Linked DNA regions of Saccharomyces cerevisiae S288C. Changing the gene in region 3 together with the main gene of any one other region gives a genetic interaction. Each region holds a gene or a part of one and is shown on either strand. Other genes may lie near its edges.

Region 1 (3,910 bases), on a different chromosome or scaffold from region 3:
AACACTATTGAAAATTTAAAGGAACAAGTAAACTGCTTAAAAAATGAAGTTAAGCAATTAAACCATAAATTTTACCAACAAAATAAACCGTTGCATAATATGTCAACTTCAGACTCAGAAAATTTTATGCAACAACATTAAAGTATGTATCGGGAAGTCTCCACCATAAATTTTCTACCCCTTTAATTCTAGCACATTCCCTGTTTCCCTTCACCCTCATCAATAATTTTCAATTCGTCGTTTCACCTTTTAATTAATTTTAAATGCTCATTTCATTTCTGTTTTAAATTTTATGTCTGTTTTGTATGCTATTTCATTTTTCATTTACTTCTCCAGGGAAACAAGACAATATTACTTATATATACATTTATATTTATGCCCATTCAACATCCGATTTTTTTCTATAAAATAAGTGAAAAAAATAATGAAACTTAACGAATCTGTCACCAAGAAATGTCCTTATTGTTCATTTTGGATTTTCTCAAGTTTTATCTTTGGTTGAAGCAGTTTATGTTTTGTTTACTTGGACAGCCAAAAAGAGAAAAAGAAGGTGAAAATTTTTTATGTGATCTCTTCAAAGAAATTTTAGATACTTTAAATGATGCCGTACGTCTTTGTTATAAAATATAGATATCTGTTTCTGGAAAGTGGGGGCAGAGACTTTTTAGTTTTACGACTTTTTTTCTTCACGTCGAAACTTTTTCTGAATTTTTACCAACTGACCTTCCAGCCGACTTATCATTTGCCCTAATCCTATCGAACGATAGTTGTTTCCCATTCTTCAGGAGATAGAATAATAAAAGCGATGAAGATGAAGTTATAGCACTCAAAAACGTAAAAACACCTCCATATCTCATCTTCTCGACCATCTTGGTCAGTGCTGCAATGAAAATTGCGGATAGGAGACATCTAAATAAATTTAAGCAACCTGTTGCGGTAGAAGCCTTAGACGGAAAGAGATCTACTATCAAAGTAGTAGAGAAGGTCAAAATACAGTTTGAAAATAAACTTGCAAATGCACTTGTGCATAATACAGCAGCAAGCGGTGTTTTCACCGAAATACACCATCCAAAGGCAGTAAAGCCAATGCTACTGAGAAGAAGTGTCACAAATGCTGGATGCAACCTTGCCTCCACTAAATTGAATGCATAATGAGAATTAGAGTGAATAAGTTCTGCTACCTTGTTTTTATCACCTTTATATTTCTCCATCAGCTGTAATTCTTGTTCTTTAATCCATCTGTTGTATTTAACCTTTCTTGTTCTGTAGCTCCAATTTAAGTACCGACCAGCAGAGATAATACTTGTCAGTGTCGAGATTCCTGCAGGTAAAAAGCACAGGCCTATTTTTGCAACAGATAGATTGTACTTTTTACTCAATACAATTGTTAAGGCTGTTTGATGAGTGGTCCACGTGGAAAATTGCAGGCCGGCAATGGACAATAAAATGTCTATTTCTCGTATGTGCAAAATTTTTAAAGGTGCTAAAAAATCCACGCTAGTACGTGGTTCTAAGGTCTCAGGGTCAGGATCGTCTAAATGTAATGTTTTTTTTACGGAACCAACATGCAATATCAAAGACCTATTCAAAAATGACCTTGGTGTTACGGAGCCGTTTCCCACCAAAGTTCTTTTTGTCTCTGGCATCAATAAGGTTGAAAAAACTAGACAAATTCCGGAACCAATAGCCAAAAACCAAAAAATTGCCCTCCAACCCCATTTCGAGGATAATCCGGCACCAATCAATGCACCGAATGCAGTTCCAACAACTTGGAACCCTGCAACCAATCCAACATATCCACCCCTCTCTACTTTTGTCGTTACATCTCCCATTATTCCGCTATTTATTGCAATAACAGGAGAAATACCTGCTGCCTGTAAACACCTTAAAGCCAGGATTTGGGCGTAATTATGTGCACATGCCAGTCCGATGCAGGCACAGAAGTAGGCTAAGATTGCCCATAATACAATAGGCCGCCTTCCAAATGTATCAGCTAAACCACCCATAATTGAAGGAGCCACCCCTTGGAAAATAAAATAAACCACAATAGTGACATTAGCTAACTCTTCTGTGATGTTAAATTTCCTCTCAATAATAGTAAGCACTGGATAGTAGATAGACCCTGCCACGGTTGAAAAAAAGCCTGTGAAGGCACACTGAACGACAAGAAGCATTTTTTGCTTATGGCTGAACCTTGAATAAGGCACCATATCAAAATTTGATTCGTTATCTATTTCAGAATGAGAATTAGATCTTTCTGCGTCGTTGTCACTGATGGCATCTGAGCTGGATCTGTCCACATTATTATTATCAGATCCTTCACGTTCTTCCTTGGCTATAGATGCGTTACGCATTACAGAAGTTTGTTGTTTGGTCATGATTTACTTATAGAAGTCTCTTCATGAGCTATCTGTTATTTTTTTATTAATAGAAGATGGTAGTGCTAAGAGATTATCACTTTTTTTAAGCAAGAATAAGTTCCTTTGAACGCTGATTGCTTGCTTACTTTTTTTGTTGTAAGAAGATTTTTTTGCTACAGTGATAGAGATTCTTCAAACCTTTCAGCTTCACCATGGTTTTATCAACTAGAAGAAACTCCAAGATCAGAAGATGAGATAAAGGGTCCGTTAACAACCGGGCCAGAAACATGAAACCCGAATCTCCGAATTTCGCACCTCCAGCATATTTTCGGCCTTGGCAAAAAATGGCGGAGAATAATAAAGGCAAAACTCAGTACTAGCCGTTCTATGTTAGTGAATCGTGCTGCTAACTCTAATTTTAGTTATTACAGAGTTCAGATTAAAAAAAAAAAAATACTTACTATTACTTTCTATTTGAGAAGACTTATCACACCAATTCCTCTTTCTCGGTAGTGGAGCGATCAAAAGGAACATTTTCCTTTGATTCAAGAAGCTTTACTTCTTAATTTACTCCCAGTTCTTGCTTTTTCCTCTTAAAGGCTAATTCTTTACCTTTTCTCAAGAGAATAAATAAGAGGATCGATGACGAGGAGGTTAAAGCCCCCAAAAATGTAAAAACACCTCCGAATTTCATTTTTTCTACCATTTTACTCAATGCAGCTATAAACACAGCAGATAGAATGCATCTGAAAAGGTTTAAACATCCCGTAGCCGTAGATGTCTTCGTGGGAAAAAGATCAACTATTAGAGTTGTTGAAAAAGTCAAAATGCAATTGGAAAACAGCGACGCAAATCCACTCATGCAAAGAACGGCCGCTAAAGGGGCTTTGACAGTAATGCACCATCCGTACGCACAAAATCCGCTACTGCTTAAAAGCAAGGTAACAAATGCGGGTTGCAACCTCGCCTTGAAGATATTAAAGGTGTATTTGGGATCATTTTCTATGATACGTTGCACCAAATTAAGGTCGTTGTCGTGTTCTTCTAAAAGCTTTGATCTCTTCTTGCCCAACCAATTTTGGTAATATTTTAATCTGCGCCTGTAATTCCAATTCAAATATCTTCCAGCAATGACAATACTACATAATGTGCAGATACCGGAGGGAAGGTAGCATAATCCTACCTTTGCAACAGTCAAGTGATATTGTTTACTCAAAGCTGTGGATAACGCCGTAAGGTGCGTAGTATACATGGCAAATTGTAATCCAGCGACTAGCATAAGTATACAAATTTCATAAGCTTTCAAAATCTTGAAGGGCGCCAGTAGATTTAGTTGCGTGGGCAGTTCCAATGTTTCGTAATCTGGATTATCCAAATGCAATGATTTTCTTACTGTTGGCAAAACAAGAATGGGAGCTCTATTTAAGTATGATTTTGGGGTGACAGAACCATTCCCGGATATGTTCCTCTTTGTTTCTGGCAAAATTAAAAACGAGGCTAGGAAGCAAATGCCAGATCCAATTGCTAAGAACCAAAAGATGGCTCTCCAT
Region 2 (4,090 bases), on a different chromosome or scaffold from region 3:
ATTCACTGATTTTCAACGAAACTCGGGATGCCCTACTGGATTTATTTTCTTCCGAAGATAATGAAGTTCATACTGATTATAATTGGATCATGTCAACTAGCCGTATCCTTCAACAAAAATTACTGTCAGATAAAACTTTGACAAGGGCGTCTATCTTAGATACAAAGTTAAGTGAAGTAGATGAGACTTTTGGTACAGAAAGTGATTTTGATCTATCTTGCGCGGTATGCAAAGTCAATGAAAGAAATACAGTATTATGGCCCTGCCGATGTTTTGCCATTTGCGAGGATTGCAGAATTTCTTTGGGTTTACGTGGGTTCAGCACTTGCGTATGTTGTAGGAGTAAAGTTCATGGGTACTGTAAGGTTCATCCTGTTTCAGATAGTAAATAATAGTTTAAGAACTTTTGCATGGTATCTAAAAGAGGTTTTTCGTTTGGGAGCTCTAGCATTAATTACTATAGCTAGAGCTTTCTGTGTTGCACATATAAACATCATAATAATAAATCAAGTTTTTTTTCTTTGGGAAATGTTCGAATTAAAATTGTACTTATAACATATCGTATCATTAGTATATATATAAAAGTGTCAGTGGCGATTATATCATTAGAGGAGGAAAGAATAAACTATACATCGATTTGCCGTCATTTCTGTATTTATGGCATATTGACTCTGAACTCATGCCATCTAATGGTGGAACAAACGGATTGGGTTCTCTACGTAAACCAAATCGAATGAATCGGCAGCTGAAAATACAACCTTGTCCATGACAGAACCAGATGGAGCGGCAATGTATTTGACACCGGATTTAACTGCTCTGTAAACATTGTCTGGGAATGGGAAAAATGCATCCGATGACAAAGAAACGTTGGTTAATTTACTCAACCATTCCTTTCTTTCTTCTGGAGTAAATGGTTTTGGAATCTCCTCGAACTTCGATTGGTATTCAGACAATTCTGGTTCTTCTGTTGGAATTTGGCCGGTTACGAATAAATCGATAGCATTAGATTTTTCTGGTCTCTTGACGCCTTTAGCCCATTTAATCTCCAAAACTCTAGGGTGTTGTCTGAACCACCAATTATCAGCCTTATCACCAGCTAATCTTGTACAATGGATTCTAGATTGTTGACCTGCACCCAATCCGACAACCATACCATTTCTAGCATAACATACGGAATTAGATTGAGTATATTTAATAGCAATGGTGGCAACCGTTAAATCAATTATGGCTTGTTCAGTGAGATTTTTATTTTGAGAAACAATTTCTTTGAAAGTTGATTGATTGATTATGGCATCGTTTCTCTTTTGTTCCAAAGTCACACCGTATACTTGTCTTCTTTCGACAGCTTCTGGAACATAGTTTGGATCAATTTGTAATATGCAGTACTTACCTCCCTTCTTCTTGGATAGAATGGCCAACGCCTCAGGCTCATAACCTGGGGCAATAACACCATCAGAAACTTCTCTAGATATGATCTTAGCTGTTGGAACATCAACTATGTTGGAAAGAGCAATCCAATCACCAAAGGAAGACATTCTATCAGCACCACGGGCCCTAGCATAGGCACATGCCAGGGGAGATAAGTTTTCAATGTCGGCAACAAAATAAACTTGCTTTTCAACATCAGACAATGGGATACCCACAGCGGCACCAGCTGGTGATACATGCTTGAACGATGCTGCTGCTGGTAAATTCAACGAGGCGGATAATTCCTTAACCAGGGGCCAGGAATTTAGAGCATCCAACAAATTAATGTAACCTGGTGAACCACATAGGACTTTGAAAGGTAAACTGTCTTGTTGACTGACGTAAGCTTGAGCCGGCTTTTGGTGTGGATTGGCACCATAACGTAGAGTAATTTGAGCTTGACCTTCAGAGTATTGTTTCCTGAAGAAATCTGAAATTGCAGCATCATAATCGGCAGTGTGTTCGAAAGCCTTTAATGCCAATCTGTTTCTCAAATCTTGAGAGATTTCACCATTACTGGATAATTCACTTAAAAATTCGGAGTAGTCCTTTGGATCAGATAAAATAGTGACTCTAGCATGGTTCTTAGCAGCTGCTCTTAATAGAGTAACACCACCAATATCAATTTCTTCTACTGCTTCTGGAATAGTCACACCCACCTTAGCAACAGTTTCTTTGAATGGGTATAGGTTACAAACGACATAATCGACTTTTTCAATGTGCTGTTCCTTCAAGTCTTTCTCATCGCTATCGATGTCCCTAGCAAGGATACCACCATGAACGGCAGGATGTAAAGTTTTCACTCTACCTCCCAACATTTCTGGGGCATGTGTGATAGCAGAAACGTCTTCGATTGGAAAACCAGCGTCACGAATCATACGAGCAGTACCACCGGAGGCGAGAATACGAACGTTCTTCTCGATGAGGCCTCTGGCTAAATCAAGTAGACCTGTCTTGTCATAGACGGATAGGATTGCGGTTTTTGTGTAATTGGCCATATTTGATGGTGATATGTGCTTTGATGTCCAAGCTAGCAAAACTACTTCAAGGGCTATTAGTTGCTGGTAAGAAAGATTTTAGGTACTACACTAAAGGTTAAAACGAGCGTACATTTATATACATAGATCCGAACGTGATATGCACATCCGAATATTAACAAGTTATGAGAGGAGTCAATTCATTTCTGGGCACATCAGGGTACACACATTGTAGGGTAGGATCTTCTTTATAAATGATAAGTTGACTTCTGCAATGACTTAGTTGGCATGATTAATATTGTTCGTTCCGCTAAGGAAAAAAGAGTCAAAAACTGCAAATTCAAATTGCGTATGCTGCCAAAGAGCGAAGAATAATAAAAAAAAAATAAGTCGAAGAAAAGGAACGATGAAGTAATCAGGTTGAAAAAATGTTCATAGTGCATTATTATTGATCTATATACGGTTCTAACTATTTCATTTTCTATACCTCCATAACGACAGAGTATTTTGTCTTTTCCAGGTCTTTCTTCTGCCGGCCTTGGTGTTGTTGAATTTGTGTCCCTTGTTGATACCCCTGGATTTCTTACCGGTGGCAGTCAAGCCTCTAGCTTCACGATGCTTATGGACGGGATTGCAGATCCAGTTGTACCGAGCATCTCTTCTGATAGCCTTGTGTTGAGGATCAACCAATATAACTTCGAAGTACTTGTAAGTAGAGTCTTGGTTGACCCAGTAGGAGTTCAAGACTCTCAAGTTAGCAGCACGACGGCCAACTCTTTCTTCAGCGGTAGCTCTCAAGGATCTTTGGTATTTCAATTCATTGACACCTTGGTTAGTTGGCTTACCGTAAGTAGCACCCTTTGGAACAGGTCTCTTTCTGTTACCGCGTCTAACCCTGACACGGTAGATAACGAAACCTTGCTTGGCTTTGTAGCCTAGTCTCCTAGCCTTGTCTGGTCTAGTTGGTCTAGCGGCTCTGTGAATGACATTTTTTTGTCTGTATTCCCAGACCCTGACTCTTTGCAAGAATCTCAAAACATCAGATTGCTTCTTTCTTTCTAATTCTTCTAAATATTTGTAGGCTCCCATTGCTTGTGTGGTAGGTAATTTGTGACTGTCTTTACGGTAGCTTTCGCCGATTACTATTGCCGCTAACTTCTCAAGAGTGAATGAAATTATCAATGGCTCCGGTTAATTGAAAACGTGGAAAAGTATCGAAAGGAACAAGAAAGATGTTTTCCGGGTAACGACATATGGAGCATCAAGACAGATACATCTCTACTGACTACATGTTTGTATCATCATTTGAAGAGATTGGAGAAGTATTCTAGCAATCGGTGCAAAAAATAAGAGTAAAGAAAAAAGACGTTTGTTTCCTTAAAGGAGCTGGAGGAGCCTGTTTTGGATAGCGGCGTAGTCGCTTTATTAATTTGGTTATACTTTAAACGCAAAGATGGCAGTACGAAACCAGCAATGCAGTGATTATATATTCCCTACTAAGGAAAGTTGCGCATCCAATGGGAAACATTTTCCTGATCTGTACCTTTGGCAACCTGAATATGCGGTTGGCTGGCAAATAAGGTAGCGTGGAGGCGGTGTTTTTGCCACAAACCAGTACGCCCAATCTATCCCTGCGAGCCACCGTA
Region 3 (3,663 bases):
TCATTCAAGATTTTTCCCTTCATTAAATTTTTATTATTTTTGGCAATGATTTTACAGTAACCACCCATTAATATGGCAGAATTATCTGTAGGAATGAAACAATGACCCGATCTAGCGTCAGGTTTGCTGTTTGTCTCCAATTTGGTCCATTTGTAGGTTGAGATATCAAAACACCACAAATCATTTAGGTAAGAAGTTTGACCATTCCCCAAATCTCTAAATCCACCAAATAATATGAAATAGTTTTTCCAAGCAATAATTCTATGACCTGATCTGGCGCTGGGTGAAGAGTCTCTACCGCCAAACTCCAACTTAGTGAATTTCCTTTCAACGCAGTCAAACAGCCATGTATCAGAATAGTGGTAGAATTTAGATTGTTTTGGGGACGAAAATTCACCACCGTGTAACAGTGCTATTCCGGAAGGATGCACAGCGACAGCGGCACTGGATCTGGGCAAAGGTGCATTTTGCGAAACGTATTTTTTCCAAGAGTTGTTCTTTATGGAGTATGAATACAAATCATTATAGAAATGTGTTAGTTTGGTTTCTGGATCTGTAAATTCACCACCGAAAATGAACAATTCATGTTTATTGTGTTGCGGATTTGCAAACATCAACGGATGAGTACGACAAGAGGGTTTTTCCACAGAAGTGATGTCTACATGCTCTAATTCAATTTGCTTTTTGCTAAAGCTAGAGAGAATTTCATCGAGATCTTGATCACTTTCATCATCTTCTTCGCCGTTTAAAGACTTATTCTTGTTCTTCTGAAACTTTTTCTCCTGCTTTTTTTGGTTTTTCTGATTCTTCAGTTCAGCACGTGCCTTTTTGGCCTCTTTATCCTTCTTATTCTTCTTTGCCATTAATCACTTCTACGAGTCTAGTAGATCTCTTCTCCTTCCTATAAGTGGTTAATGTATTCTTCGAGAAGCTCATCATTTTTTTTTTTCATTTTTTTTTTTTTTTTCAGTTTTCTACAATTTCATCAAATCAATGGTTAAACCGGGCAGAAAAACTACCAAGCGTTACTTTTACTGATGTTAGTACTACTACCGCAGTTATTGCGACTACTACATTAACTATAACTATACAAGAAAAAAAGTAAAGAGGGCTCGTAAAGCAAAGCTTGGTATCTCCTACATAGTCAATACATAGTAGTGAGTCGCCTATAGCCATTCTGTAATGCCATTTGTTAAGACGTGTCCTTAAACCCTTCCGAATCGCCGCGGGCGACATCATAATGTCAGTACCTAATAATGGTTATTATTCGTACCCTGTGGTTAGAGAGCTATGGAAGCTAGCAGTAAATGTCTCTAGTTCTTGCTATCACTACCATATTGGAGAGGCTTCAGGCCCCTCCCCTGAGCCGATCCTCGGAATGACTACCCCGATTCCCGGAATGGGCGTTCGATGATTGGCTCTTTCCTGTAAAGCCTTTTTGCGTTTCTTATAGGCTATATATAATCTTCATCACTGTTGTAGACGTTAAACAAGCATCCAACAGGAGGCCGGACCGAACACACGGGGGAGTGACTCTAGCTCTTTCTTCTGGGATATTCATATCGTTTCTCCATTACATACAGTCATTTTTTTGCATTTTTAAATTCGTGACTTTTAGTACTGCAGCTGTTTTTTTTCTCACGTCAAGAAATTCCATAAAGTCTAACTATTAAACGGATAAGAGATACAATCATGTTGAGATTTACCAATTGTAGTTGCAAGACTTTCGTAAAATCGTCATATAAGCTTAATATAAGAAGAATGAACTCCTCGTTCAGAACTGAAACCGATGCATTTGGTGAGATACACGTGCCTGCTGATAAGTACTGGGGTGCCCAAACTCAAAGATCCTTTCAAAACTTCAAGATTGGTGGCGCTCGTGAAAGAATGCCATTGCCTTTGGTGCATGCATTTGGTGTTTTGAAGAAATCTGCCGCGATTGTGAATGAGTCTCTGGGGGGATTGGATCCCAAGATCTCCAAGGCTATTCAACAGGCCGCTGACGAAGTGGCTTCTGGTAAGCTAGACGACCACTTTCCATTGGTTGTTTTCCAAACGGGTTCCGGTACCCAGTCTAACATGAATGCTAATGAAGTTATTTCCAATCGTGCCATTGAGATCCTAGGAGGCAAGATTGGATCTAAACAAGTCCATCCAAACAATCATTGCAACCAATCTCAATCATCCAATGATACTTTCCCCACTGTCATGCATATCGCTGCCAGTTTGCAAATTCAAAACGAGTTGATACCTGAGTTGACCAATTTAAAGAACGCCCTTGAAGCCAAATCCAAGGAATTTGACCATATTGTGAAGATCGGTAGAACACACTTGCAAGATGCCACGCCTTTGACACTAGGTCAAGAGTTTTCCGGTTACGTGCAACAAGTTGAGAACGGTATCCAAAGAGTGGCACATTCTTTGAAAACATTGAGTTTCCTGGCACAAGGTGGTACTGCCGTTGGTACAGGGTTGAACACCAAGCCCGGATTCGATGTCAAGATAGCCGAGCAAATTTCCAAAGAAACTGGACTAAAGTTTCAAACCGCCCCTAATAAGTTCGAGGCTTTGGCTGCTCACGACGCCATTGTCGAATGTAGCGGTGCTCTAAACACCCTTGCTTGTTCTCTTTTCAAAATAGCGCAAGATATAAGATACTTAGGGTCCGGGCCACGTTGCGGCTACCATGAACTAATGCTGCCAGAGAATGAACCAGGTTCCTCAATCATGCCTGGTAAAGTTAACCCAACCCAAAACGAGGCATTGACTCAAGTGTGTGTGCAAGTCATGGGTAACAATGCAGCTATCACGTTTGCCGGCTCTCAAGGTCAATTCGAGTTAAATGTCTTCAAGCCAGTCATGATCGCCAATCTATTGAATTCGATCAGGTTAATTACTGATGCCGCATATTCATTTAGAGTGCACTGTGTTGAAGGTATCAAAGCCAATGAGCCTCGTATTCATGAGTTGTTGACTAAATCTTTAATGTTAGTCACCGCTTTGAACCCTAAGATCGGTTATGATGCCGCTTCCAAGGTCGCCAAGAATGCTCATAAGAAGGGCATTACCTTGAAGGAAAGTGCATTGGAATTGGGTGTATTGACTGAAAAGGAATTTGATGAATGGGTTGTTCCTGAACACATGCTAGGTCCTAAATAAACGAGCTAAATACCTAATAATATACAAGTTTTTTATGTCTTATTATATGAAGGAAAATAAGGAAGTGGAGAGAATTTGTGATTCAGCAATGGTCCCTCCGCTAAGGTCCCGCCTCTGGCCAGTTATGTCAGAAGAGGAGCATAGGCATACATTCCATTTTTGATGGCTTAATGGGGCCCATAAATTTACATCACTACATTATTATTCCTATACAAGTTATAATAAAATAGTTCATAAATGAATATTTTGCGTCATTTTTTAATTTCTTGTCGTCGGGTAAGGGACCTAGTATTACCCGCATCACGGAAAGGGGAATTTTCAGAAATGATAACGAATAAGAGAGTACACCAGAAGAGCAAATCTCTTTAAGAAGTTTAGCAGCAAATATCGGTTTAAAAACAAACAAAAGCAAAGGAAAAGAACTACTAAATCTTCGAGGACTTTCCCAATTTTTAAAACGCTGAAATTGTATTAGAAGAGAATAACTGTCTAAAAAGAGCATGT

What was found. A genetic interaction does not mean that the proteins touch.
Region 1: mutations in FUM1 (region 3) and QDR1 together harm fitness more than expected from each alone (negative genetic interaction), as found in Saccharomyces cerevisiae (2 studies listed by BioGRID).
Region 2: mutations in FUM1 (region 3) and ADE17 together harm fitness more than expected from each alone (negative genetic interaction), as found in Saccharomyces cerevisiae (3 studies listed by BioGRID).

The regions. Positions count from the first base shown.
Region 1 is NC_001141.2:132,885-136,794, reverse strand, and holds QDR1 (multidrug transporter), read right to left. Parts: upstream 2,379-3,910; coding exon 687-2,378; downstream 1-686. Other genes in the region: RPI1 (Rpi1p), read left to right, coding at 1-141; QDR2 (cation transporter), read right to left, coding at 2,923-3,910. UniProt on the Saccharomyces cerevisiae protein: Multidrug resistance transporter involved in resistance and adaptation to quinidine and ketoconazole.
Region 2 is NC_001145.3:506,816-510,905, forward strand, and holds ADE17 (bifunctional phosphoribosylaminoimidazolecarboxamide formyltransferase/IMP cyclohydrolase ADE17), read right to left. Parts: upstream 2,466-4,090; coding exon 687-2,465; downstream 1-686. Other genes in the region: putative ubiquitin-protein ligase ASI1, read left to right, coding at 1-392; 60S ribosomal protein eL15 RPL15B, read right to left, coding at 2,919-3,533; YMR122C (uncharacterized protein), read right to left, coding at 3,886-4,090. UniProt on the Saccharomyces cerevisiae protein: Bifunctional enzyme that catalyzes the last two steps of purine biosynthesis.
Region 3 is NC_001148.4:45,644-49,306, forward strand, and holds FUM1 (fumarase FUM1), read left to right. Parts: upstream 1-1,692; coding exon 1,693-3,159; downstream 3,160-3,663. Other genes in the region: KEL3 (Kel3p), read right to left, coding at 1-863; YPL261C (uncharacterized protein), read right to left, coding at 3,353-3,661; CUB1 (Cub1p), read left to right, coding at 3,660-3,663. UniProt on the Saccharomyces cerevisiae protein: Catalyzes the reversible stereospecific interconversion of fumarate to L-malate.